Linked DNA regions of Coturnix japonica. The protein of the gene in region 1 interacts with the protein of each later gene in a pairwise test. Links are inferred from orthologs where the notes say so. Each region holds a gene or a part of one and is shown in the gene's direction. Other genes may lie near its edges.

Region 1 (3,218 bases):
AGAGTTTATGTATATGTATTAATCCTTAATGATTATGTAAATGTTTGCTGTAATAGAGTGATAATATTTCTTTCACTCATTCTGTAAGCTTATTTAGGAGCGAGATACTGCTCTGGTGGCTGTATGAAGTAGTTAGGATGACTGTTCTGAACTCACAGCTACCAAGTTTTAGTTCTTGTTTGAACGGGTAGAAGTGCAGTGGGGAGGAGGATTAAAGATCTTTGCTGGAGGTTTCTGACCACTAATGGAATGATATGGTTAATGAGATGGTGAGTTTAGTACAGTTTGAGCATGAAAAATAAGGTCTCACTTCAGCTGCTCTTGTGGTTGAGTGGAGGATCCTCCCCTGATTCTGGGAGGGAATTTGTGTCTAGAATTGTTCTCGTGTTGTCACATCTTGGTCGCTGTACTTGGCTGATACTTAAGACAGTGAAGATCCTGGAAGATTGCTCAGTTTATATGGGTATTAAAGATCTGTCTTGTAGGATGAGTGGGCTGCTCACTGACTTCCTCAGTTAATTTCTGTCTCTTCTTTTGGCATGACATCAGAATCACTCCAGTTTGCTAAATCCTGTGCCCTTGTTGCTTTTGTGTAGAACCCTGGATTTTAGCAGGGACTTGGTCTATTAGTGGTGTTTCTTATTCTCATGTTGGCCAGAAATGGGAGCAGTGCAGGCGTTTGCCTTCAGAGGAGAGCGGTACCTTTCATGATGTCACAGAGAACTGGATATGCCTTTGTCAGTCTCAAGCAGGAAATCTGAGCCTTTCCTCCTGTCAGTGATAGTGTTACTGCTATCAAGATACTTGGAAAATTATTTTGACAGTGTGGTTCAAATATGAAATACACAGTGGGTACATGTAAAACTGGGTTAAGTCCAGTACCTGGGATGTAGTTGATGTGGGGTAACTTTATGACATTATTAGTGTTAACATCTGCTGTGTGTGAAAACATGTCGTGGCTGTGGTAAAAATGGAAGGCCAAAAGACTTCTTGAGTGGTCGGAACTCTTATATGGAGAACATAATGTTGCTGACATAGTGATAAGGTTGTACTAAAAGTAACTATTTTTGTTTTAGAGGGACTCCGAATATGTCTGGCATAGCTCTAAGTAGACTTGCACAGGAGAGAAAAGCCTGGAGGAAAGATCATCCATTTGTAAGTATATATATGAGCACTGTTAACCTTCTGACTTGCGCAGTTACATTCATGTTCAAATTCTCTTTCCCTGATGTGTTACAATAATTGAATTAATTTTTAAATAAGAAACTGCATAAAACTGTGTTTTGCACAAAGAAATAACTGTGTGTACATCAGGCATGGCATGGAGTGTTCTCAGCATGTTTTCTGATGTACCTTTTGTTTTTGTTTTGCCTTAATTCAGGGATTTGTAGCAGTACCTACAAAAAACCCAGATGGCACAATGAACCTAATGAACTGGGAATGTGCTATTCCAGGAAAGAAGGGGGTAAGGCATTCTGTTGTCCTAACATTTTACTAATGTCACTTTCCAGCATAACTGTCATTGTGTGTTATGCTGAGAACTGTGAGACTATAAGTTCTGTGTAGTTCAATATAAATATTTGGGTTATGGCACTGGATATAGTTCACCGTGGGTCTGTTCAGCTTTTGGCACCGATCACCTTAAGAAATATAATCCTGCATGGGGCAAATTGAGATGCTATTCTGCATAATGTCAGGGATTATCGTGGTTTATCTTCTTACTGAACACTGGTTTAAACTATCAGGTTTTTATATTAGTTTGTATTTTTATATACTATGACTGTACTTGTATCTTGCATTATCAACATTTATATCAGATCTGTTGATGACTTAGTGACACCTGGAAGCTGTAGTAAAGTGGAGAAAAGAAAATACAATGAACTGATGTAAATAATAATAATAAATTAATAAAAAAGAAAGCTATCAGTGGGATCACTTACCTCATTGTAGGCAGCATACTGCAGTGTAGGACAACTCTTTAATAGTGGTGTAGGAAAAGTGCCTTGTGCTTTGTCTAGGAAACTGTTGTTTGGGTTTTTTTTCCATGTTTAACTTGCTCTTATTGTAATCAAAACACCACCTTAACTTCTTTTATAGACACCATGGGAAGGAGGTTTATTTAAACTACGGATGCTTTTCAAGGATGACTACCCTTCTTCACCCCCAAAATGTAAGAAAAATGACAGCAAAAAAGCCCACACCAAACATAGCAGAACAGTATTTAATAGTCCGTGAGGTTGTCCAGATAGTTTTCACTCCCTTGTGGAGTTCTTTTTCCTACAGAAAGCTGCTTTATTTCCCCACTCCACACTTGGTGTTTAGAATTTTGTGATGAACTGAGCAAGTGCTCAGTGCTAACAAAGCTAGAAGGGGAAGGGTGAACTGTGCTTTGGATTTCCTCAGAGCTTGTCAGAAGCATCACTTGAAGTGCTCACTACTTGAGCAGCACTCTAAACTAGAGGTAGTAACAGGTAGGCATGGTTAGTCTAAGACTTCAGTCAGTATTTGGGCTTTTTCATGCTGTAAAGTTAGTCTACTACACTGAGAATTCACAGTAAAAATATATTGTTCCATCAACTTCTACCTTTTCATCTGTTCACTGTAAATATGGAGGTGTTATTTATTGTACATGGTATTAGAAAAAAAATACTTGTTTTACTTGTTAGGGAATCTTCTAGAACTCAACCTTGTGTGCTTAAAGTAAGATGTGTGGCTGCTAAGACTCGTTGCTAATGCAGCTTCTGCTTTTCCACTGAACTTCACTGAGCAGCTGATAAGCAAAACACAATTGTAATGTAAAAATGGATAAGAAAATTGCAGTAACATTGACTTCTCATATACCATTAAACAAGTGTTCTTTATGTTATTTGAAATAATCACTGTAGGAATTAAGGCTTATAAAGATTAAAGAAATGCTAGAATGTAGTCTGCCGGTAGGGAAAGCTGCATAACTGACCTTTTCAATCAGTTCTGCAGGTTATAGGCTACATAAAGTGAAATTGAACAGTAATACCTGAGACTTGGTATTTTTTGTATGGAATTTTCAATATACTACAGTGAGAGGAAAATGAACAAGTGACAGGCAGTATCTTTCTTTATAGAGTAGTGTATATTGCTCTGAGTATGGGATTGGTTTAAAAAGTTATTTATTGTGTAGCTACTATGAACTTTTCCATCAATTTCCATTCCTAAACCAAAATATTACTGGTCACAGTGAT
Region 2 (4,298 bases), on another chromosome or scaffold:
CCAGGACCCAAAGACTGTACAGCCACCACCTTATGACACATCACCTGACCAACACATCCCATATATACCCAGCACATGGGTACTTTGCAAGGCCTAATGCATTCCACACCCTCAGTGATAAGCAGATATGTGACACAGGGAGACAGACAGAGCATGCTGCAGGAAAGGGAAGCAAGCCGGTACAACAGGTGGTGATGGGGGGAATAGAGATGATGAGAGAAACAGCATGACTGGAAGCCAGTACGGAAGACTTAGTGCTTTATGAACAGAACTCACAAACAGTAAAGGACAGGCACAACCGGGGGCACAGCTCATTACTTCTTTCTTAAGGTGATGCATGCAACAAAAACGTGTTTCAGTCTATAATGTGTATCAACAGGTATTCGTTCACCTTTGCCTTTAGCTGGCTTCTTGGTGGGTGTGTCAGCCGAGACAGTTATTTCAATGTTATCCGGATCACCTCCCTCCTCTTCAATAGCCTGAACGGGACACAGAACGACAGTTTTTAGTGGAGTTCAATTGGAAGCAATAAGTTGTCACTTCAGGACGTTGACGAGCCAAGTTATTAGATTTTCAACTACACAATATCTTATGAAACACTTCAGGTTAAACCTCCCACCGAAAGCTGGGGGAGAGGGAGGAAAGCCTGACGATAGCGACAGCGGTTTGTTGAAGCCGTTCTCGTGACATTCCGAAGGACAACTTAGCGAGCAGCGGTACGTTTCCCTCAGGGATCGCTACGCCGCAATGACACCAAGGGGCAGAGCGGGCAGCAGGCAGCGAGCTGCAGCGCCCCGGGTCCCGGCAGGGCCTCAAGGCCGCGGGCCGAGCCCCGCCTGACGCCTCCACTCCCCGCGGCCGGGCAGGGCGTGCCGCCGCAGCACGGGCAGGGCCGGGCCGGGCCGGGCGACCCTCAGCCCTACGGCAGCAGCGGCACGAGGAGCGGGCCCGCCCCCCTCACCGGGACCGACACCGGGACCGACACCGACAGGGCCCCGCCCCCCTCACGGCGCTGCCCCCGATCCCGATCCCGGGCCGCGCCGCTCAGCCGGGCCCGCGCGGAGCTCTCACCTGCTTGAGCCGGGAGATGAGCACGGTCTTCACGCCGGTGACGTCCAGGTTGCGCCGCTTCAGCTCCGACTTGAGGTCGATGACCCGCAGGTCGCTGATCTTCTTGCTCTCGGTGGGAGGCGGCGCCGCGGCCGCCGAAGCGTTGGGCGCCCCGGGAGCCCCCGCGGCGGCAGGAGACGAGGCGGCGGCGGCGGCGGCGGCCATCTTAGAGCGACTGAGCGCGGCAGCCGCGCGCACAATGAAACCCCCCCGCCCTGCCGGGGCCGCGCGGTACCCGGATGGAGGCCGCGGCCGACCTGAGGAGCGGCGCAGGCGCAGTGCGGCTCACCTGCGCTCCGGACCTCCCCGCGAGAGGTTGGCGGCGGGCGGGTCGGGCGGGCGGGGGTGAGTGAATGAGTGAGGGAGGGAGTGAGTGCGGCGGGGAGTGAGTGAGTGAGTGCCGCGGTGCGGCCCCGCCCAGCGGGACGGGACGGGACGGGACGGGACGGCGCTGGGCTCCGGCCGGGCTCTCGCTTCTTCAGGGAGCGGCGCTGGGAGCCATGAGGTGCCCCGGGGCGGCGCGGGCTGGGCCAGGCCTTGCGGGAGGCGCAGGGCGGGGCCGGGCCGGCGGGGAGGGCGTCCGCAGCCGGGAGCCGGGCGGTGCGTCCCGCCGGGCCCCGCCGAGCGCTTCGGATCCTCGGCCTCGCGCGGGTGCGGGCCCGGCCCGGAGGAGGTGACGGTGCGGCGGCTGCGGGCGTTTGTCGGTACGAGCTCGCGGTCACGGGCCGCCGTACCGGGGCCGCAGCTCGTCCGCCCGCTCGTAGCGCCGCGTCGGCCCCGAGCGGAACAAAAGCGGAGCCGTTACCGCCGTGTGCTGCCGGCGGGGCCCGTCGCTGGGCCGGGCCGGAGCTCCGCGTGTCCCGGCCTGTGGGGCTGTGGGAGCCGTGCGAGGCGCGCTCCGGTTGCGAGCCGTCGCTCGGGGTGAATTGAATCCTCTAACCTTGAAACCGCTCCGTCGCAGCGATGCGCTGTGCTGCCTTCGTTCAGCGATGTGCACTGATCGAACTGCAGGGATGTGCGCGTTTCACTTAATAAATCTCTTACACGCTTTTTTTTTTTTGGTGTAAGTTAAGCCCGGAATCCGACGGAGTGGTTGGGAACAGCTTCCTCTCCTGTTTCCAGAGCCTCCATACATAATCCTTTACCTCAGTCGTTAGCGTTTAACAAAGGCTGACACCCATCCATTCAGAAGTTAAGCGTGTGCCTGAAACGGAATTTGTACTGATGACACACTGGAACAGGTTGCCCAAGGGGGCTGTGGGTGTCCCATTCCTGCAGGCACTCAAGGCCGGGCTGGATGTGGCTCTGGGCAGCCTGGGCTGCTGGTTGGTGACCCTGCACACAGCAGGGGGTTGAAACTCGGTGATCATTGTGGTCCTTTTCAACCCAGGCCATTCTACGATTCTATGAGTGTGGGAGGATTTTAAATGTCTCTTCGGCATGGTGAAGATTTAGTGAAAAGAGCAGTCTGAAGTGGGAGTGCTGTGTGTGTTCTTGCTCATGCTGTTCCCTGTGACAACACTTGCGCTAACATCTGATTTATCAGAAATGGCTGAGGTTAACTGATGGACTCCTTAGATTTACTTTAGACCACAGAAACAGATTTTGTGGGTGTTGGTGTAACTTTCAAACAGAACGTGGCTAAGTCCAGCTTTTGTTTCAGTTCTACTTTGAGTTCAGCGATCTACCAGAATATCAGGCAGGACTGCCAGCTCCCTGCAGCAGCGTTGTATCAGGAGGGACAGACTGCACTGTTCTGTTCTCAGTCCTGGGAATGACCAGTGGGTTAACACCTGCAGTGCTCACCTGCTTTCAGAGCAGTATCTGCTCACCTCAACCACTACATTTGTTGGTTGATGTCACGTAGATGTGGAAGCTGTTGATCTAAAAAGCCAACAGTGACCTTAAAACTAATACCTAGTCTCCATTATCCTGCCTCGAGGCGTGGTACGCCATTAGGAAAACAGCCTTGACTGATGTTCGTCTGACCTGTTCCTAAAGCCTTAACTAGGGATGCCACTCATTCCTCGTCTAGTCTAGCCCTTAACTATCCTTTTTCAGATGCCTCCTAAATCCCTTTTGCTGCAGTTCTTACTCTGACTCTAAAGGACAGAATTCCTTTTTCCTTTGCAGCATTTTTATGTGAAGACTACTAGCACATTTTGTTTGCTCCTTTATTTTTGGGGTATAAATCCAGATCATTTTCTTTTCCTTGATCCGAGTTCCAGAACAGATGACCTTTTTCTGTTGCACCTCTCCAGCATTTGTGCTGCACTTCCATCAAGTTGCCTTAGTGCCAGCACTTCCAATGCTGCATCTGGGAGCTGTGTGCCTTTTCCAGCTTCACGAAGGTGTTATCGTATGCAGTTTGTGATCCACTCTACATGTTGGTTTCTTTCCTGAACGTTTCCTATGGTAACTGATTCTCTGCACCTGATTTCTTTGCACTTCTGTTCATTACATGTATACATTTTCGGAGTGATTTCTGCCTTCATCGTTGACTTTTGCTCCATGTGTAGTACCTCTAACCATGGTGTTAGGTGCAGGTTTATACTTGCAGTCTAAGCTGTTATGCAGAGGTATGAGGGCCTTTACAGGACATAAACTGCAGGTTTGATGCTGAACTACTAGCGGCATTGCTCAGGGTACAAACAGTTTGGGACTGGGGTTATGTGGTTTCTATCCAGTTTCCTCTTTAAGTTTCCTCTTAAAGTTCCTATTAAAAGGAAGTTTCCTCATAAAAATGTTGATGGAACAGAATGTCGGAAGTCTCAATAAAGCTGGGATCTTCAGTTTATTCATATAACAAAACTGAAAATAAAGTTGGTTTGATCTGTCAATGAAAAATCATGTTGGTTGGCATCTTTCACATTAGTTTATAGGTATGCCTCATGATCAGATCTGTTTGGATTTGCTGAGGAATTTTAGTCTATATTGGCTGCTTTCTAACCTGGAGTTGGATGATTTGTTTGTTGTAAAGAAAAATACTCTTTGTCCTTTTACAGTCTCTTGAAACACGTACTGATGTTCAAAGAGAAGGCTGCTATGTACAGTTAGGCTCTGAAGTTTATGGTTAAGTTTGGTTAGGAGACAGTGGTATCTGTTCAAAGAGGAGAAATGTTTGGTGCACATGTTGGTTTTTAAATGGCAACAATGATAAAACTCCCAACCTTTGCTCCTGTGATGTA
Region 3 (3,979 bases), on another chromosome or scaffold:
AATGAGAGCACGGGCAGTGTCTCAGTGGAACTCCTCGCAGGGCGCACAGCCACCAATGAGTCACACATGGTGCACGCCCGAGCAGCGATAACAGCACCATTCTGGGAAGTGCAGCCACACCTCGGAGGAAAGCGTTGCTCATTTAAGGGCAAGAGGAGTCAAGTCAGCAGCAGAACTCTCGGGAAAATGCTGTATGTCATGTGCCCGATGAGCTGACGGGGAATTCAAACCACAGCCCTGTTCATGGCCGCCCCGTCCGCTGCGCTGCTCAGCGGCACCACGCAGCGCTTTGTGCGCCCAGAGCCGCATCCAGCCCGGCGCAGGGACAGACAGCAACCACGGCAGCGGGCAGGGAAGCGCGCAGCTTCAGCCCCGGCTCTGCCCGCTTCCTTCTTCAGCCCCGCCGGCAAATGAAAGGGACGCGGGGACATTCCCACCCCCGGGCCGTCCTCACTTCTCCTCCGTTACCAAAACACAACGCGTTTAAACCGGTGTTTTATTTTCAACATTCTGTTACGGGGGGGATGAAAACAGCCCCATTTCTTTTACCCGACCTCCGCCCCCAAGCAGCGCTGCAGCACTGTTCCATTCTCCATCAGACCCATCTCTCATCGTTCCGTCCTCCCGCTCGCTCCGCTCTCACGCCCCGTCCCGTCCCCGCGAGGAGCCGCGCTCCTCCGCCGCTGCTCGCGCTCAGCACGGCGGCTCAGCGGTCCTCACGAGGGCCGGCACGGGCAGGGATCGGGCCCGAGCCCACGCGGATAACGGCGCCCGGTGGGTTTCCTCAGCCCCGCGGGGCGTCAGCGCCACCGGCGCCCCTTCATCCCAGCGCGGCCGGACGCGGAGCGCAGCGCCCTCGGTTACCGCAGCGCCCTCGGTTACCGCAGCGCCCTCGGTTACCGCAGCCCCGGACGGGCCCGGCGGACGGAGCCGCGTTCTCTCCCGGCATCGCAGCGTACCGGGCGGGGCGGGGCGGTGCGGGGCACGGTGCTCGGGCCGCCGCTGACCGCTCCCGAGTCTCGCCCGCTCCGTCCTGGCACCGCAGCCGTGGGCGCGGCGCTCCCCTGCCTCCTCCTCCTCCTCATCCTCATCCTCCTCCTCCTCCTCCTCCCCCGCTCCCCCCGCCGCCCCGCTCCGCTCCCCGCCCCGCCCGTCCCCCGGAGCATGCTCGCTGCGGCGGGGCCGGGCCGGAGGCTGCGCGCGGCCGCCTCTTGCGTCAGCGGAGCGTTCCGGGCGGGCGCGTCGGGTCCCGAGAGCCGCGGCCCGATGGTGGCGGCAGCGCGGCGCCATGAGCCGCCCTTCGTCCGCCGGGCCGGGCTCTAACAAACCCTGCGGGAAGCAGCCGCCGCCGCACGCCCCCGCCCCGGCCGCCGCCGCGCCCGCTCCCGCCGCCGCCACCATCGCCGCGTCCGGTGCCGGATCCTCCGCCGTGCCCGCGGCCGCCGCCGTCCTCTCCGGGCCGGGCGGGCCCGTGTCTCCGCAGCACCACGAGCTGACGTCGCTGTTCGAGTGCCCCGTGTGCTTCGACTATGTGCTGCCGCCCATCCTGCAGTGCCAGGCCGGGCACCTGGTCTGCAAGCAATGCCGGCAGAAGCTGAGCCTCTGCCCCACCTGCCGGGGCTCGCTGACCCCCAGCATCAGGAACCTGGCCATGGAGAAGGTGGCCTCGGCCGTGCTCTTCCCCTGCAAGGTGAGCGGACGGGGCGCCGGGTTGGACGGGACCCCCTTTCTGCTCACAGCCCTGCTCCTATTTCAGACGTGACAAAAACAACTCGTTTTCTCTCATCGTTGAAATAAGCGCAAGTGGTAAATGCGCTCGTAGGTACGGAGCTGACTTAATGCGGACACAGGGCGGGACGCAGGGCTTCATCTTTTGGAAAAGAAACCTCGCTCTTCGCAGCTTCCATAGGAGCAGCGATGCTCTGCGTCCCGAGAGCTGGGGCAGGGTTAGGGACACCTCCCTTAGGGAGGGTCCTGCTGAGATCCTTTAACTTGTCACCTCTGCCTGGAGCTGCTGCCCCATTTCTGAGCCTTCTTGTGGTTCTGATCCCTCTGAAGAAAAGGGAATCCAGTGAGGATTCATTTCGCTGTACTCTTTATGTTTAGTCCGAGGGCAAGATGTGGAATCCTTTCTGCACTCCACATCCAACCGTAATGTTTTGCTTTTAGAACCACTAGGCGTAGTGAGGTTGTGTATCCATTGAAAGGGCTCCGGCAGCATCGCACTGAGCGCTGCCCCCTTCGGCCGGGCGCAGGGACAGGCACTGCAGCCTCGGGCCGCCGCTGCTTCGCTGTGCAGCTGGGAGGGAAGAGCAGGGATGGACTCAGCGTGTCATTCCCGGCTCTGCTGCAGATTTCCCCTGCAGCTTCAGACAAGGTGCTTTAATCCCATATACACCCTGCCTTCATTCACTGACCTGGCTCTGCTGAGCACCTTCAAGCTTAGCCAATGTTTTCAGAATGCTTTCAGGCACTCACATTACCTGTAAGGGGAAGTCCAGGGTAACGCGAGTGAAGTGACGTACATAGCAACAACACGGAATGCTAAGTCATTATGTGGTGATGGCTGCAGGGCTGCCTGCTTCCTCTTAGGAAGGTGAATGTGGTGCAAGTAGTGCTGTGACGAAAGGTACTCGTAAAAGTGGAATGCTGGGAGCGAGAGAAAGGCAATGTGAGAGCACGGAGCAGTCACATCAGCTCCGGCATTTGTGGTGCACCAGCACTGCCTGCACCCTGCGCTCCTGCCTCAGGAAGGACACAGGAGAAGTGGAAAAGGTAGAGCCGTCAATGAGATGGGCGGTATCATATGACCTGCACGCAGGGAAAGACCAACAGGCTCTTTGGTTTGAATGAGGATATGGTAAATATCGGTGACATGTGCCAAACAGCATGAAGGCAACAAGTGCTCTGTGTTCCCAGAAGATCTGTGAGAGTCCCTTACAAACCCAGAGCGCTCCGTGAATCTGTTCACAACCTCCTGCTCACCAAACAAAACTGCTGCTGTGTGTTCAGGAGCCAACAGAAGGAGGTGGGTCACAGCAAAGGAAAAACCACAGCTATTTCCTCAGCTCTCTTCCTTGTGTGTTCACCACTGGTCACTTTCTGATACAGGCTGACACTACGCAGACGTTTGCTTTTGCCCATCCAGCAGCTTACATGTTCTTACTGCTTTTCTAACAGGGTCAGACCGAGAGCGGTTCTTCAGCAAAGTGCAAAGCGATTACATTGCCAACAGGGGTATGAATGTAGAGTGAAAACAGCAGAACAGTGAGAGTGGAAGCATAGAACCCAGCGGCAGGGAGCCGTGCTCTGCATGGTGGGTTTCTGCCTGCAGCAGGAGGAGCCCTGGTTGCACCGCAGCACACCTCTGTGCTCCTGTCACAGGTGGATAAATCCTGTCACAGAGGATTAAGCAGCAGAGCACACGTTATGGCTTATAAAGCAAGCTCTGTAGAAGCACAAGGTCTCGTTTCTGTCCCAGCAGTTGTAGCACTGTGCTGCAGTGTGGGTGATTTGGCTGCAGTAAGGAGGACTGTGGCGTCTGCATCTCAGGCATTTCACTCTTTGAGCTGAAACTAATTGTGTTTGCATTTAACCCCAAAATACGCTGTTAAACTTTGATGAATTTGGACTTTGCTTAGTTGAACATTTTACAAAAAGTCTGTCCAGACTTGTGTTTCCCCAGAGATTGTCTTGTTCCTTCAAACATTCTCTCACCTTTGGTCTCAGAGCACAGTCCCTGACCCAAAGAAGCGTCCTACCTCCTGTAGGCAGCCACACGTGGGCTGTGATGGCGGGACCGCATGAGCAGAGTTGCAGAAGTCTCTCCAGCTGTCTGCAGATGGGGGGAGCTGTGCTCCTGCTCAGAGCAAAAGACGCGTTTCTCCTTAGAGGTAGTGAGGAAGAAACGTGTTCAGTGCAGACAGCGACTCGGTGTTGAAAAGGAAAAGCATCCCTGTTTGCTGAAAGCAGATTAACC
Region 4 (4,139 bases), on another chromosome or scaffold:
CGGGCGCGGGTCGGAGCCGGCGAGCAATTGGGCCGCGGTCGCTATGCTAATGAGACGCTCCGGCTGCGGGTAAAGCGCTGCAAAAGGGAAAAGTTTCTGCCATTAGAGGGAGATCTCCGAGCGCTCAGTGCACAGCGGCTCTGCAACAGCTCCGCCGCGCTCCGCAGCACCGCGCCGGGGGGATCGGACCCTCTCCCGCCGACCCATGAAAATGCTCTGGAAGCTGACGGATAACATCAAGTATGAGGAGTGCGAGGTAAGCGCCTGCCAGGGCCGGGCACTGCCCCGGGGCCTTTAGCCGCGAGTGGGGCCGCGCAGCATCCACCGATCCGCGGATTTCGTTGAGGAGGAGTTGTGCCCCCTCGACCGGCTCGGCCGAAATGGGCCAGGGCAGATGGGAGCCCTCGGGGAACGACGGCGGAACGAGAGCCGGAGCAGTCCCAGCCGTAGGGAGAGAGCGCTGTGAGTGCGGCTCTGTGGGATGCTGAGCGCATCCGCACGGATGGATGGATGGATGGATGGACGGACGGATAAATGGATGGATGGAAGGGCCAGGAGACAAAGGGAGCAGAGAGGCTCAGGACCGCCGCTGAAATCCCCCACCCCACCCCAGTGCTGCCGTGCCCCGAATGCGGCTCTGGGGGCGACCTCCCCGTTCTCAGGGCCTTTGAGCAGTCGTATACGGACCGCTCGGCAAATTCAACCTCAACAATTAGGGTCTGAGGACAGAACCGTGTGTGTGTGCGTCCGTGCTCCGAGTGTCTTTTGGTGTGACTAAAAAAGAAAGAAAGAAAAGAAAAGGAGAAGAAGAACAAACCGAAGAGGGCATCCCATGCCAATCCCTAACAAAAGCCAAGCTCACACCTTCCACAAAAGTTCTCCTTGCGACACGGATCAATAAAAGGACCGCTCTGTGCGAACGAATGTACTAATTTGGGGCCGAGTCGATGCCGTGCGATGCCGCGGCGTAGGGCAGGGGCCGAGGAACCGGCGAGGACCGAAGGATGCGGTGCTTCAGTCCTGCCCCGAGCGCTGGGACGCAGCCGCTGCTCGGAGCGAGGCTGAGCTGTCGGATACGCGATGTCCGGCAACGGGGCGTCGGGGAGATTTCTTTATTTTATTATGACTATTATAATTATTATTCCATCCCTCGGCCCAAGGCAGGGCGAGAGCTTCACCTCCTCTCCGCCCCAGGCCGCCGTTGTGGGTCAGCGCCGCCCGCGTGTCGCTGCCGTCGGGGCTTCGGCCCCGGCCCCCTCGGGCGCCGATTTCGTGCCGTCAAGGCCCGGCGCAGCGCGGAGCCGGGGCCGGGATAGGGGCAGAGGAGCGGCGCGGAGGGCGGTGCCGAAGTCGCGCAGCCAGTCGGACGGGTTGCGCGGGGCCCGGCGTGTCTGGGCCGGACGGAGGAGCGCTCGCCGTGCCTCCCTCCCGCCGTGCCCGGCTTTCTCCTTCTCCCCCCGCGTCCCGCCCGCCCTCCTTCCTCCCTTCGTCCCTTCCTTCCCTCCTCTTTTCCCGGCTCCTCCGAGTTGGGGGGCGGCGGATGCTGGCGGGGCTCGAGGTGCGGGAGGAAGAGGAGGAGGAGGAGAACTTTCCAGGACGCGGCGGCGACAGCGGAGCGGGGACCCCTCGGCGGGGCATGGACGGGGCGGCGGCGGAGCCCCCCCCGCGCGAGGGCGGCGGGGCGGAGGGCGGCGGGAGCCGGGAGCGGCCGCTCTTCTCCTCCGCCGCCGCCTTCGAGCCCGGCTTCGCTCAGCAGCCGCAGCCCGAGGTGCGCCCGGGGCTGGGGGCGAGGAGGGAGGGAGGAAGAGGAGGGAGGGAAGGAGAGAGGAAAGGGGATCCCCGCCCCCCCCCCCCTTCTCCTTTTTACGCCCCCCCCCTCCCCCGCCGCACGGTTCTCCCACCTCCGCCGCCACCCTCCGGCTCCACCCTCTGCCTCTCTCCGCTCTCTTTCTCTTTCCACTTTTGGCATGCCCCCGCAAACCTTTTTTAAATGTGGCCCCTTCCTGTGATTCCCAGACGCGGCGGCATTGTCCCCCACCTGCGCGCCGCGCTCCCTCCCTCCTTCCTTTTGTCTCTCTCTCCACTCTTCTCTACGCCCACTCCTCCCTCTCTCCCGGCGCTGATTAGATACACCGATTCCTCATTCAATGGACGTCATTAGAACGGGCTCTGCCTTGAGTTGCCTTCGCGCTTCACCGCTCGATTGCGGCATTCTTCCCCTTATTTACAGTATTCGTGTAATATTAATAGTCATGAATATCCGCTGCTTAGGAGGCTCCGGAGGCGCGGAGGAGCGGGCGTGAGGAGCCCCGAACGGAGCGGCCGGAGCTCGGGGGAGAGGGAGAACGAGACAGAGACAGAGCGAGAAAAGGATTGAGAAACTCGAACACCACATACTAAAAAAAAAAAAAAAAAAAAAAAAAAAAGGGAAAAAAAAAGAAAAAAAAAGAGAAAAAAAAACCGCAAACAAACAAGCAAACAAACAACAAAAAAAAATCGACCAACTTTACCTCTCGCCCCGCGCCAGGATAAGCAGAGCTTCTGCAGCACCCGATGAAGGGCAGCGGCGGGCGCTGCGCGTTCTGATGGATTCCGGCGGCGCGGGCGCGGAGCAGGAGCAGCCCCGGCTCCCCGCTGCTGCCCCCCGAGCGTAGCGCCGGGCTCCGGCCGCGTCCATCCGCGCAGCTCCGCGCCCCTCCGCGGCCGCCCCGCGCCTCTCTCCCCGCCGCGCATCCCCCGACGCCTCGCAGATGTTAGTGCACAGTTTTTCGGCTATGGTGAGTGGCTTCGCCTTTCTCTCCGCCGGGGGTCGGGGCGCGGGGCGCTGCTATTGTTGGCGGCGGCGGTGGCGGCCGGGCTCGAGGCGGCTCTGCCCTGCGTTCTGCTGCTTCGCCTCGGCTTCGCCCTCTTCGCTCTCGTTTGGTTTTATTTTCCTTTGCTTTTTTGTTGGGGGGGGGAGGGGGAGATTGCTTTGGTTATGTTGGGGTTTGTTTCTTTTTTCCTTTCTTTTTTTTTCCTTTTTATTTTCCTTTCCATTTCTCTTTTATTTTCTTTTCCCCATTACCACCCCTTTTTTTTTTTCCTTTTTTTTTTTTTTTTTTTTTTTTTTTTAAATTTATTTTTCCTTTTATTTTTGCTCTGCCGATCTCCGGAGCCGCCACCCCGTTCCCGTCGCTCCGCACCTGCCCGCGGGGTTTTACTCCTTCCCTCGCCGCCTTTCTGAGGGCTATGTCTCTCTCCTTCCGATCCCTTCCTCCTCCTCCTCTCCCCCGTTTGAACGGGGCCCGGAGGAGACTCTGGGCCCTCGCCTTCGCCCCGAATCGTTGTGCAAAGTTGCTGGCAGGGGCAGCGGTGCCCCCGCAGCAAGATGGCAGTTCTCTCGGCTCTCCCGCTTTATCCCCGGGATGTGACGGCGGCGGCCCCCGGTAGAGGTGCGCCGGGGCCGGTGCAGCGCTTTGGGTTACGGTTTCGGCTTATGGTTCCGTAGGGCCCCGTGTAAGGGTTGTCTCAGTGCCCGCTGCCGGGGCACGGCCGGCCGGGAGCGCACGGATCGCCGCCGTAGCGATTTGTGAATTGTTCGGAACGGTCCCGTTATTGTGGTTATCGCTGCTATTACACCGGCACCGTTGGGGCGATGGTCCGAGCCCCGTTAATGCTGCCGAGGGCGGCAGACGGACCCCCTTCTCTCCCTCTGCTCGAGGAGCTGCTCGGCGGGTGAAATGACTGGAGGGCGATTTTGAGGAGCACCGGTTTTGATTTCATCTTTTGTTTTTCTTTTCTCCCCCTCTCTCCCCTCCCCTCCTCCCCCGTACCCCCTCCCCGTGCCCCCCCTTCCCCCCCCCAGGAGCGCCACGACAGTGCCAGCAACGGGACGGCGCGGCTGCCCCAGCTGGGGGCCGTGGGGCAGTCCCCGTATAGCAGCGCCCCGCCGCTCTCGCACACCCCCAACGCCGACTTCCAGCCGCCCTACTTCCCCCCTCCGTACCAGCCCATCTACCCCCAGTCTCAGGACCCCTACTCCCACGTCAACGACCCCTACAGCCTCAACTCCCTGCACACCCAACCGCAGCCCCAGCACCCGGCGTGGCCGGGCCAAAGGCAGAGCCAGGAGCCGGGCTTGCTGCACGCGCACCGGGGGC
Region 5 (4,109 bases), on another chromosome or scaffold:
TGGGCAGTGTATCAAATTCAATACAAGCCCAAGGATCCTACTGATTTCTTGCAAGCAAACTGTCATGCCATACAACTTGTTCCTTTGTATAAGTTACTAACAAAATGTGCTGGTAGTAGCAGCTGACAGTATTTCCTGCACTCATGTTTTGGCTTAGACACTGTCTGTGCACATGCATGAAAAAGTGGTTGCTGATATGTGAATTACGGTTAATAGATCTGACTATAAGATGCTGAAAACCCTCCCAAAAAACACTGTGAAGAAAATAAACAAACAGAATATGGAGTCTAACATCATCTATGCACCTCCACTGCTTTATGTAGCTGAGCCATCTCACTTAAAATACACACGCAGATGAGGCTTCAGCTGTTCCCTACTCCACCTTAATAGCGATGCTTATTTCCAACAAGCACTGTTCAAGAGGAAGGTAGATTTACTTCCACTGACTGCAATCAGGGGCAGCTACATTCAGGGTTTTCAGTGCTTCAGTTCCTAACTCGATGGCACCAAAGTGCCTGTTGGCACAACCAGCTTCTTTATAGAAATCTGACCATTATTTTTGTTGCTATCAGCTCTAGCTCTGTGACCTCATGAGATCTACCAATTTTTTTCTCTCAATCAAGAATCTGAATCAAGAATACAAGCCGGCGGCTGCTCACTGAGGGTAAAAGCCATAAAAGGAAGAAAAATCAGGAAACTATAATGTTAAAACATGAAAAAAGAAAAATAAAATAAAAAAAAAAAAAGAAAAAAGTAAAAAAAAAAAGAAGTTAGAAGTGCTGAAGCCTGTGAAGATCCCGGTTCGCCAGGCCCGTGGCGCAGCCCTCCTCCTCCCACCCGTCGCTCCCGAGCCGTCCTGTGCCTCCTGTGCCTCAGGGGCAGCAGCTCGGCCCCGGGCCGCTCCCAGGCTCAGGGTCGGTACCTTTCAGTGCCAGCAGATGCTCCTGCTTGGGCTGGTTCACGTCCATGGTGCAGCCTGAGGCCCGAGCGCCGCAACCAGCCGAGAAGCGCGTAACCGCAGCGCGGGCAGAGCGAGCACCGCTGAACCCGGAAACAGCTGCTCCACACACGCCCCGTCATACACCGCCACGGCGCCACAAACTACAACCCCCACAGGGCCTTGCGCCCGCTCAGCCCACATCCCCCGTCCCGAGGAAGGCGGGTCCCGCGGGCAGCCCCGTGGCGGTGCATTCTGGGAGCTGTAGTTCTGGAGGGTGCCCAGGCGGCGGCCTCGCGGAGCACGACGGGAACTGCAGTTCCGCTCTCGGAGGAGGCGCAGGAGAGCGCATGCGCACACTGAGGAAGGGGTGCTGTCTGCGCGGCCCGCTGTGCTCCGCCCCGTCCAAGATGGCGGCCCTGGCTGTAAACAAGGCTGCGGCTGCGGCCGGGCCGGACGGCGGCCGCGGAGCTGGGAACAGCTGGGGCCCGACCGGCGCCGCCGTGAAGGTGAGGCGGGGCCGCTCGCTGCTCTCGAGCCGGTGCTCTGCTGTGCTGTGCTGTGGCGGAGGTGCCTGCTGGGCCCGGGAGGAGGCGTACCGAGCGCTCTGCAGGGTTTCCTCAGGCGGTGTGTGCCGCTGCGGTAGGGCCTCGCTGCTCCTCCATCGCACCGCGGGGCTCCGGTGAACGGCTGCGGGGCGGGAGGCGCTCGGGGAGGCCCCGGGTGGGGGCTGTGTCCCTGCTCCTCGCGGGAGGGCTGCTCCGTGCTGCTCCGTGCTGCTTCCGTTGTGTTTTTGTCTTGTTTCGTTGTCTTGTTTCCCCCCCCCCCCAGCCTGGAGACAGATGGTATCTTTTCTAAAATCGTAGGTTCTCGAGTGCGGAGTCTGTGAAGATGTGTTCTCTTTGCAAGGCGATAAGGTTCCTCGGCTGCTTCTGTGTGGCCATACTGTGTGCCATGACTGCCTGACCCGGCTTCCCCTTCACGGCAGGGCTGTCCGCTGTCCTTTTGATCGGCAAGTTACTGAATTGGGTAAGAGAGCTTAGGCCTGAATTTGTTAAGACCGAACAGAATGTTTAAAAGACCAGCAAGCCTTAACAGGAAATGTATAAAGGCTGATTTGAGTTTGTAGGCTGGCAGTGTGTGGTATCAGAATTTTTACTGTTGATAGTTTTGATTTGGCTGCAAATGGATGAGAAGGGTTTAGTACAGTAAAATGCATGGCTAGATAATGTGTGTGGATAGTACACAAAACCAAATAAGATGAATGTACTAGTTGTATTTGTTTTGCAGCATTCCTCCTGTACTCTGAAATGCTTTTTTTTTTTTTTTTTTTTTTTCCACTGAGAGGAGTGAGAGAGATCTCATTAAGATTAGGTAATAAGTTTTTATCTTCTCCTTGAATATAGGCTTGCAAACACCTTGTTTGTGAGCCTGTGTTTACAAAGTGACTGGTCTGTTTTAAATCCCTGTTTAATGATTCTTGAGAGGATATCAGTTTCCTGTTGTCCTAAACATTAAGTAGACCATACAGTTACGTAAGTTGTTTCTCTGTCAAACAAATTTGCCTGGATTCACAGTGGAATGATAACAAACCTGTTTGTAAAGTATATGGTAATTCTAAGGGTGATAGAACTTAAATTGGCAGGCTGTCTACAGGGATTTTATTACTTTAGAAATGTGTCTCAAAAGATCAGATATGGTGTTTATTCCATAGTGAGAGTTTATTTCAGGCATATGCTAGTGATTGTGCATTCAACATAGAGTTAAAGAAAGGACAAGTTACTAGAAGAATTTGTGTCAAGGTTAACTTGTGAACAGAGCTGTCTGCAGTAGCTTTGAATAGCACAGTGGATAAAAATATTAGGATGGCGGAGAATCCATGGAGCAGGAGATATCAAATGTAGTAATGCATGAAATAAATGTACAATTATCAAATCAGCATGAATACGTATTTACTTTGAAGTGATAGTCTGCTAGAGTTAAAGAAATATTAAATGGAAACAAACTCAGAAGAAACATCAGCATGATGTGAAAAAGTTTTGTTTGTGGTAGGAGAGGTGTGGATGGTATGTGATTGAAAGAGGATTGAAAGAAGTTTATTTTTTTATGTGACTGTACATCTATATGGGGTTTATGTATGTATGCTTTAATAGGGAGCGTGTGTTAGTCTTGCTGTTGTGAAACTTCAGCGTGAGCCAGCTGCTTGTATCTTGTAAATGGGGAGCAGAGCTTTTTATTGTAAGGGGGCGTTGTCACTTTGTGGCTCTTACTGTGTGATTTCCGCCTGACAATTGGAAGCATCCTACAGTAATTTTTTATTTTAGTTTCAGTTTTAACCAAAAATTAAGTTTCTTCGTCTTACGTAACAACTAGTGGTTTCTGATGGAACAATGTGAAGTGTTAAATTTGCAAGGCTTCTATAGAAAGGTAGTGGGAAGAAAAGCTGAAGCTTTCATTTCTAGGATAGTAGGCTTGCAGCTTATTGGATGGTTCTGGAAAGAAGAATGATATGTTGTGATCAGCTGTTGCTCAAAAAAAAAAAAAAAAAATTAGCAAAACAACCTGAGAGTCAAAGCACTTCTGTGAATGAAAATGTTTTGCCTGATGGTTTGAAGCAGAAGAGGGTCATGGCAACATTTCATCTAATCTGTTCTGTAAGTCCTCGGGGAATAGTAGAATCATAGAATCACCAAGGTTGGAAAAGACCTAAAAGGTCATCCAGTCCAATTGTTCACCCATTACCAATAGCTCCCACTAAACCATGTCCCTCAACACAACATCCAGTCTCCCAGGGTCTCCCCCAGGGTCCCAGGGTCGGTGACTCCACAACCTCCCTGGGCAGCCCATTCCAGTGTCTGACCACCCTTTCTGAGAAGCAATACTTAAGTCCAGCTTGAATCTCCCCTGCTGCAGCTTGAAATCATTCCCTCTAATCCTATCGCTAATGACATGAGAGGCCGACCCCCAGCTCACTACAACCTCCCTTCAGGAAGTTATAGAGAGCAATAAGGTCTCCCCTGAGCCTCCTCCAGGCTGAACATTCCCAGCTCCTTCAGCCTCTCCTCATACGGCCCCATTGTGCTCCGGACCCCTCACCAGCTTGGTTGCCCAGCTCTGAACATGTTCCAGGGCCTCAATGTCTTTCTTGCAGTGAGGTGCCCAAAACTGGACG
Region 6 (4,295 bases), on another chromosome or scaffold:
AGACCCGCGTGTCGCGCATGCGCACTAGTTCTTTCGCATTATTCCGTCATTTTAAGGCCTAGAAACACCGGACAAAGCCCGTCCGCCATCTTGGCCCTTCCCGGTTGATGACGTCACGTCTTACCGTGTGTCCACGACGCCTCAAGACCCGGATGTAGCTTAGGCCGCTCCCCGTTGTGCGCACGCAACATGGAGGCGGCTCTTAAGGCCGCGCCGCGAGTGCCCGGATGTTGCGCATGCGCACCTCCAAACCCGGAAGTGCCTTCCAGATACCCGTATGTAACTCAAACCCGGAAGTCCCTCCAAATCCCCGGATGTACTGCGGGTTCCCAACCCGGAAGTCCCCGGATGTAACTCAAACCCGGAAGTCCCTCCAAGTCCCCGGATGTCACTCAAACCCGGAGGTCCCTCCCAGATCCCCGGATGTACTGCGGGTTCCCAACCCGGAAGTCCCCGGATGTAACTCAAACCCGGAAGTCCCTCCAAGTCCCCGGATGTCCCTCAAACCCGGAAGTCCCTGCAAGTCCCCGGATGTACTGCGGGTTCCCAAACCCGGAAGTCCCCTCTAAATCCCCGTATGTAACTCATGCTCACTCCCAAACCCGGAAGTCCCCTCTAAGTACCCGTATGTAACTCAAACCCGGAAGTCCCTCCCAGATCCCCGGATGTACTGCGGGTTCCCAACCCGGAAGTCCCCGGATGTAACTCAAACCCGGAAGTCCCTCAAACCCAGAAGTCCCTTGTAAGTCCCCGGATGTAACTCAAACCCTGAAGTCCCTCCCAGATCCCCGGATGTACTGCGGGCTCCCAACCCGAAAGTCCCCTCTAAGTACCCGTATGTAACTCAAACCCGGAAGTCCCCTCTAAGTCCCCGGATGTACTGCGGGCGTCCAACCCGGAAGTCCCTTCTAAGTCCCCGGATGTAACTCAAACCCGGAAGCCCCTCCAAGTCCCCGGATGTAACTCAAACCCGGAAGTCCCTCAAACCCGGAAGTCCCTTGTAAGTCCCCGGATGTCCCTCAAACCCGGAAGTCCCTGCAAGTTCCCGGATGTACTGCGGCTTCCCAACCCGGAAGTCCCCTCTAAGTCCCCGGATGTAACTCAAACCCGGAAGTCCCTCCCAAATCCCCGGATGTACTGCGGGTTCCCAACCCGAAAGCCCCCTCTAAATACCCGTATGTAACTCAAACCCGGAAGTCCCTCTAAGTTCCCGGATGCAGAAGTCCCTCCCAAATGCCCGGATGTAACTCAAACCCGGAAGTCCCTCCCAGATCCCCGGATGTACTGCGGGTTCCCAAACCCGGAAGTCCCCGGATGTAACTCAAACCCGGAAGTCCCTCTAAGTACCCGTATGTCCCTCAAACCCGGAAGTCCCTCCAAATCCCCGGATGTAACTCAAACCCGGAAGTCCCTCCCAAATCCCCGGATGTACTGCGGCTTCCCAACCCGGAACCCCCCCTAAGTACCCGGATGTGCTGCGTCCCTCCATCTTAGCGGCCTCCATCGGGCTCTCCATCGTTCCCGGTGTCCGCCATGTCCATCTCCACCCCCCCCAGCAGCAACGACGCGTGTCTGAGCATCGTGCACAGCTTAATGTGCCACAGACAGGGAGGAGAGAGCGAGACCTTCGCCAAACGAGCCATCGAGAGCCTCGTTAAGAAGCTGAAGGAGAAGAAAGACGAGCTGGATTCTCTCATCGCCGCCATTACGACCAACGGGGCTCACCCGAGTAAATGCGTGACTATACAACGTACATTAGACGGGAGGCTGCAGGTGGCTGGGAGGAAAGGGTTCCCCCATGTGATCTATGCGAGGTTATGGAGGTGGCCCGACCTGCATAAGAATGAGTTGAAGCACGTCAAGTATTGTCAGTACGCGTTTGATCTCAAGTGTGACAGTGTGTGTGTCAACCCGTATCATTACGAGAGGGTGGTGTCGCCTGGGATCGGTGAGTACAATGGGGTCCTATGGGGTCCTATGGGGTCCTATTGGGGTCCTATGGGGTCCTATGGGGTCTATGGGGTCCTATTGGGTCCTATGGGTTCCTATTGGGGTCTATGGGGTCGTATTGGGGTCCTATGGGGTCCTACAGGGTCCTATGATATAATGGGGGGAGATACGCAATTTGTGTAAGGGAGGCCATAGGAAATAATGGGGGAGATACGGAGTTTGCGTAGGGGAAGTTACGCAATTTGCGTAAGGGACTAGGGAGCCAATGGGAGGAGTTACGCAGTTTGCGTAAGGGCGGGGGGTTCGATAATGGGAGTTACGGAGGTTGCGTAAGGGAAGTTACGTAGTTTGCGTAAGGGACTATGGTGGTTAATGGGGGGGGAGTTACGCAAACTGCGTAAGGGGCTTCTATGGAGTCCTATTGAGTTCTATGGGGTCCTATTGAGTTCTATGGGGTCCTATTGAGTTCTATGGGGTCCTATTGGGTTCTATGGGGCTCTATGGGGTCCTATTAGGGCCTATGGGGTCCTATTGGGGTTCTATTGGGGTCTATGGGGTCCTATGGGGTCCTATGGGGTCCTATTAGATCCTATGGGGTCCTATAGGGTCCTATGGTGTCCTATTGGGGTCTTATGGAGTCTGTGGGGTCCTATGGGGTCCTATGGGGTTCTATGGGGTTCTATGGGGTCCTATTGAGTTCTATGGGGTCCTATTGGTTTCTATGGGGTCCTATTGATTCCTATGGGGTCCTATTGATTCCTATGGGGTCCTATTGGTTTCTATGGGGTCTTATTGGGGTGTATGGGGTCCTATTAGATCCTATAGGGTCCTATTGAGTTCTATGGGTTCCTATGGGGTCCTATTGGGGTCCTATTGAGTTCTATGGAGTCCTATTAGATCCTATGGGGTCCTATGGGGCTCTATGGGGTCCTATGGGGCTCTATGGGGTCCTATTGATTCCCATTGGGTTCCTATAGGGTCCTATTGGGGTCTATGGGGTTCCTATTGGGGTCCTATTAGATCCTATAGGGTCCTATTGAGTTCTATGGGGTCCTATAGGGTCCTATTGAGTCGTATTGGGATCCTATTAGATCCTATGGGGTCCTATTGATTCCTATGGGGTCCTATTGAGTTCTATGGAGTCCTATTGGTTTCTATGGGGTCCTATTGATTTCTATGGGGTCCTATGGAGTCCCATTGCATCCTATGGGGTCCTATGGGGTCTATGGGGTTGAAGCACGTCAAGTATTGTCAGTACGCGTTCGATCTCAAGTGTGACAGTGTGTGTGTCAACCCGTATCATTGGGGTCCCATTGGATCCTATGGGATTCTATGGGGTCCTATGGGGTCCTATGGGGTCCTATGGGGTCGTATTGGGGTCCTATGGGGTCCTATCGGGTCGTATTGGGGTCCTATAGGGTCCTATGGGGTCCTATTGAGTTCTATAGGGTCCTATGATTTAATGGGGGGAGATACGTAAATTGCGTAAGGGAGGCCATAGGAAAGAATGGGGGGAGTTACGCAATTTGCGTAAGTGAGGGCTCAGGTTACGCAATTTGCGTAAGGGAGTGCGGTAGTTATAATGGGGGGGAGATACGGAGCTTGCGTAAGTGGGAGTCGGGTTACGCAATTGACGTAAGGGAATAGGGGTTTATAATGGGGAGGAGTTACGCAATTTGCGTAAGGGACTACGGGGTTTATAATGGGTCCTATTGGGTTCTATGGGTTCCTATGGGGTCCAATGAGGTCTTATGGGGTCTATGGGGTCCTATTAGATCCTATGGGGTCCTATTAGATCCTATGGGGTCCTATGGGGTCTATGGGGTCCTATGGGGTCGTATTGGGATCCTATGGGGTCCTATTGGGTTCTATGGGGTCCTATTGAGTTCTATGGGGTCCTATTAGGGTGTTATTGGGATCCTATGGGGTCCTATGGGGTCCTATTGGTTCCTATGGGATCCTATTGAGTTCTATGGGGTCCTATGGGGTCTTATGGGGTCTATGGGGTCCTATAGGGTCCTATTGGGATCCTATGGGGTCCTATTGGGTCCTATTGAGTTCTATGGGGTCCCATTAGATCCTATGGGGTCCTATTGGGGTCCTATTAGATCCTATGGGGTCCTATTGAGTTCTATGGGGTCCTATTGAATCCTATGGGGTCCTATTGGATCCTATGGGATCCTATTAGATCCTATGGGGTCCTATTGATTCCTATGGGGTCCTATTGAGTTCTATGGAGTCCTATTGGTTTCTATGGGGTCCTATTGAGTTCTATGGGGTCCTATTGATTCCTATGGAGCCCCATTGGTTCCTATTGGGTCCTATAGAGTCCTATTGGATCCTAT
Region 7 (3,500 bases), on another chromosome or scaffold:
ACCTTGATAATCCATGTGAGAGCCAGGAGACCCAGTGCTTATTTGGAAAAAGAGAAGAAACGATAGAGCTTCTGTATGGCAACACATACTTTGCTCGTTTTTTCTTCATTCATTCCTCAGTTTCAAATTCTTCTTGAAAATATATGCCCGCTGCAGTATATTAGTAAATAGAAAAGAGTGTATTTTATAGATTCATGGGATTTAATCATGAAAATCCGTAGCATCTATTATTAAATCATTGCTGGAAGGCTGGGAGAAACCACCACATTTTTGTGTGGGTGGTGAGACTTGCAACAAAGCATAGTATAACTGCTGGGTCTCTACTGCACACGTATATAAAAAGCAGGCCGAAAATAAATCTGGCAGTCTGATTCAGTGCTATTCTAAGCAGTGTGAATATAAGATCCATCCACAATGTCTTACTCACTCCTTGACCTCCACAAAGGCTTCCCTAGAATAGTAATGAGTGAGTTTCGAAGCCCAGAATTCGGCATAAGCAGCCTCCAACTGGTGAAGGACCGCAGGGAGTGCTTTGCCTTTGCAGAGCTTGCCTGCCGTGGGCAGAGTCTTCTGATGGCTTCCAAGTCGGTAGTTCCCCATTCACTGTTTCCATTTGTGTGCTTGTGTTTCAGCACCTTGTCCAAGCAAAGGAAGAACGTCATCAGCTGTGTCACTGTGCATGATTCCCCCTACTCCGATTCCTCCAGCAACAACAGCCCTTATGCCACGCAACATCGCGCAGGACAGAATAATGGGAACACATACGACACCAAAGGGGTTCCAGAGACTCACTGCAGTGGGAACCCCCGAACGATCATCGTGCCACCACTGAAAACCCAGGCCAGTGAGGTGTTGGTAGAGTGTGATAGCCTGGCACCAGGTAAATTGCACCTCTTCCGTCAAGAGAATTAGTAAGAAATAAATGATTTATCTTGGAAGAATCTCATTGTTCGGTTTCATTTTGTTTGTTTGTTTGTTTTGTTTTCCAAAGAAACCGTGCTCCTGCCCTGCTCTCAAGTGACACATCTGTTCTTGGGAGCTGTATTGCATTGCTTATGTGCCTTGGTACATTCAGGAGTCATGGGGGCAAGTGTTACTCCTAGTTACTTCTGTGCAAACCCAAGAGCAGAATGCAGTCTTTAGCTCAACATTTGAAAGGAAAGGCTCCCAAATGCAAGTGTGAACCTTTGCTTCCCTGCCTTTCCATAGGTTTACTTTACAACACATAAAAGATTGAAAACACATGTGCATTTTCATCTGAATTTATTGACGTTTCTGGGAAAAACAATTCCCCAGCATCTTCACTGTGGACTGATGAGGTTTGCTCATCCAGAGCCTCTGCAGTATTAGATAGTATAATATGTTGAAAAGGGGCTTATGTGGAAGTTTGGCCCAAAGCAATTGGCTTTGTGTTATTTGACAGTCTTTTCTTTTGGTGCACTGCTGGTGAACACGAAGGCTCAGAGGGTGAGCTCCCCACTAGCTCACTCTCCCTCCCTTCCTACTCACCATGAGGTCAGTCAAGCCAGGGCTTTTTTTGTGCTGTGCACAGTGTACTTTCCTTCCTCTCTTTGGGATTTGTACCTGCATCGTACAGTTCTACTGGCAGAACAGTTTCTCACACTTCTGAAGGATCTTTAAAGCCTTCTCCAGGGCTAGTTTGGGGTCCAGATCTGCTTGTCTGCCTCTAGGATGACAGTCTGGTTTGAGTATAAGAAGTACTGCTGAGGTATCTCTAAAGAGAAACCATTTTCTTATCCTACTTCTGTTTTATGTCTCCTCCTCAAAGCCACTCTGGAGGAGACTCAGTGAGGAAAAGGTAGGGTGAGCAATTAAAGAATGTGATGTAAGCTACAAATGTGTTTCCTTTCCTGGCACAGTCACCACCAGTCACCACTCATCTTCCTACAAGTCCAAGTCCTCCAGCACCGTGACCTCCACCAGCGGTCACTCTTCAGGGAGCTCGTCTGGAGCCGTTGCCTATAGGCAGCAGCGACCAGGAGCACATTTCCAGCAGCAGCAGCCTCTTAATCTAAGCCAGGTAAGTCAATTGAGACAGATTTTGGTGATGTATCACCCAGCTGCAACCCACTGCTGCTCCAGCGTGGGCTGTCCTTTTCTAACCTAATGATAGTTGGGCCTCGAGTTTGATGGACTTGTTTCAGCTTCATTGCAGAGCTTGATCTTCTAGCTCTGGCAGTAGAGGCAGTGCAGATCCCAGCTGTGAGTGGGCTGGCAGTATTCTTAACATGTGTTTGGAAGTCAAATGATCTAAGAGTGTGAGTGGGGATGGTGTAAGAGAGGAGGGTGCAGTTGCACAGACACAAGGTGGTGAAACAGGACTGTGCAGGAAAGTCTGAAGTCTCTGTAGCTGTAGGTAAGTACGGGGAGAGTATCTTTCAAGGAAAGTCTCCATCAGATGTGACAAGGCAAAACTGAACCTCTAAGCATAAACATGACCACGCGTTGCATAACGAGTTTGATCCATTCCATGATAAATCTATGCTAAGACCTGGGTAAAATCCCATTGCTTGGTATCAGGCAGTTCTCAAGATGTTTCGTGGTCTGTGATCAGAGTGCCCAGGGGACTCTCCAGGAGCTTCCTTTAAAAAGGCCCTTGTCACAGACAGCACCTGGGGCCTCCCTCTTCCTGAAGTGAGGTGATGAGTAGGGAAGTTACAGCAGTTATCCACTTTCCAGAGGAGAATGTCTGGAGAGCTCAAAGAATGGTGCCTGTTTGCTTCCATAGCACAACTGGTTTAAAACAAAATAATTTGTGGGAGAAAAAATGTCCCCTCCCCTCAAAATGTAGTTGAAATTTGAACTAGCTTGAAATAAAAGCCAGTAAAAATGGAGGCAGTGGGTGAGATGCTGTTTCTAAGAGTAAAGGAGACGTGTGGCTGCCATATTTTAAGCCAGTTAGAGCACAGAGAGCTCTTAAAAGGATGAAAAGAGTGGGAAAACTAGGAGGAAATAACATGGAGCGATGCTCTTCCTGCCTTCTAATTCCTACTTTTTTGTTATTTAATATTCTCACTACACCATAATTACAAATGACTGATTGAATTCCATGGCACCTGAAGAGATGTGTGAAAAAGTACATTGTTTCTGTCCCGTTGCAAGAAGTTGCCTATGCTAAACTAATTACAGCTGATTAGATGAGGGTGCCAAGCACCTGCAGGATCTGATCGAGCAGAGAGTTTTATCTTTAAAAAATAAAGTAGTTATTTTACTTCTCCTGGAAATGATAACCTCAAAGATCCAAGCTGACCAAAAATCAATGGCCTGTTCCAGGCATAGCTAGGTGATTTAATTCCCCTAAGATATCTGTGCACTGTATTATGTCATCAGAGAGTTCAGTAACGAAAGCTATGTGTCGTGTGAGTGACTGGAGCTGAGGAAGTGTTCTTAGGACCCAAGCATCCGAGGCTGGGTCTCCATGGGAGCTGTATCAGCAGGTCATGACTCACAGCGGGGAATTGTGCCCTCAGTTTAGAGGT

What was found.
Region 2: the proteins of UBE2I (region 1) and RNF111 interact in binary tests that used the Homo sapiens proteins (3 or more experiments, as listed by UniProt). The link is inferred for Coturnix japonica from reciprocal best matches to the Homo sapiens genes UBE2I and RNF111.
Region 3: the proteins of UBE2I (region 1) and SIAH2 interact in a two-hybrid assay, tested with the Homo sapiens proteins (3 studies listed by BioGRID and IntAct). The link is inferred for Coturnix japonica from reciprocal best matches to the Homo sapiens genes UBE2I and SIAH2.
Region 4: the proteins of UBE2I (region 1) and TFAP2A interact in binary tests that used the Homo sapiens proteins (3 or more experiments, as listed by UniProt). The link is inferred for Coturnix japonica from reciprocal best matches to the Homo sapiens genes UBE2I and TFAP2A.
Region 5: the proteins of UBE2I (region 1) and TRIM23 interact in a two-hybrid assay, tested with the Homo sapiens proteins (3 studies listed by BioGRID and IntAct). The link is inferred for Coturnix japonica from reciprocal best matches to the Homo sapiens genes UBE2I and TRIM23.
Region 6: the proteins of UBE2I (region 1) and SMAD4 interact in binary tests that used the Homo sapiens proteins (3 or more experiments, as listed by UniProt). The link is inferred for Coturnix japonica from reciprocal best matches to the Homo sapiens genes UBE2I and SMAD4.
Region 7: the proteins of UBE2I (region 1) and HIPK2 interact in a two-hybrid assay, tested with the Homo sapiens proteins (5 studies listed by BioGRID and IntAct). The link is inferred for Coturnix japonica from reciprocal best matches to the Homo sapiens genes UBE2I and HIPK2.

What each region holds. Positions count from the first base shown.
Region 1 is NC_029529.1:7,283,072-7,286,289, forward strand, and holds part of UBE2I (SUMO-conjugating enzyme UBC9), read left to right. Parts: intron 1-1,076; 5' UTR 1,077-1,089; coding exon 1,090-1,155; intron 1,156-1,381; coding exon 1,382-1,465; intron 1,466-2,097; coding exon 2,098-2,170; intron 2,171-3,218. UniProt on the Homo sapiens protein: Accepts the ubiquitin-like proteins SUMO1, SUMO2, SUMO3, SUMO4 and SUMO1P1/SUMO5 from the UBLE1A-UBLE1B E1 complex and catalyzes their covalent attachment to other proteins with the help of an E3 ligase such as RANBP2, CBX4 and ZNF451.
Region 2 is NC_029525.1:5,872,561-5,876,858, reverse strand, and holds the start of RNF111 (E3 ubiquitin-protein ligase Arkadia), read left to right. Parts: upstream 1-1,498; 5' UTR 1,499-1,610; coding exon 1,611-1,615; intron 1,616-4,298. Other genes in the region: SLTM (SAFB-like transcription modulator), read right to left, coding at 392-479, 1,072-1,275. UniProt on the Homo sapiens protein: E3 ubiquitin-protein ligase. Required for mesoderm patterning during embryonic development. Acts as an enhancer of the transcriptional responses of the SMAD2/SMAD3 effectors, which are activated downstream of BMP.
Region 3 is NC_029524.1:20,989,182-20,993,160, forward strand, and holds the start of SIAH2 (E3 ubiquitin-protein ligase SIAH2), read left to right. Parts: upstream 1-1,179; 5' UTR 1,180-1,288; coding exon 1,289-1,690; intron 1,691-3,979. UniProt on the Homo sapiens protein: E3 ubiquitin-protein ligase that mediates ubiquitination and subsequent proteasomal degradation of target proteins.
Region 4 is NC_029517.1:65,928,489-65,932,627, reverse strand, and holds the start of TFAP2A (transcription factor AP-2-alpha), read left to right. Parts: upstream 1-1,339; 5' UTR 1,340-1,540; coding exon 1,541-1,768; intron 1,769-2,435; exon of another isoform or gene 2,436-2,750; coding exon of another isoform or gene 2,751-2,777; intron 2,778-3,844; coding exon 3,845-4,139.
Region 5 is NC_029547.1:14,354,370-14,358,478, forward strand, and holds the start of TRIM23 (E3 ubiquitin-protein ligase TRIM23), read left to right. Parts: upstream 1-1,309; 5' UTR 1,310-1,347; coding exon 1,348-1,446; intron 1,447-1,803; coding exon 1,804-1,966; intron 1,967-4,109. Other genes in the region: TRAPPC13 (trafficking protein particle complex subunit 13), read right to left, coding at 923-968.
Region 6 is NW_015439872.1:57,509-61,803, forward strand, and holds the start of SMAD4 (mothers against decapentaplegic homolog 4), read left to right. Parts: upstream 1-1,495; 5' UTR 1,496-1,533; coding exon 1,534-1,948; intron 1,949-4,295. UniProt on the Homo sapiens protein: In muscle physiology, plays a central role in the balance between atrophy and hypertrophy. When recruited by MSTN, promotes atrophy response via phosphorylated SMAD2/4.
Region 7 is NC_029516.1:56,122,499-56,125,998, reverse strand, and holds part of HIPK2 (homeodomain-interacting protein kinase 2), read left to right. Parts: intron 1-632; coding exon 633-880; intron 881-1,880; coding exon 1,881-2,041; intron 2,042-3,500.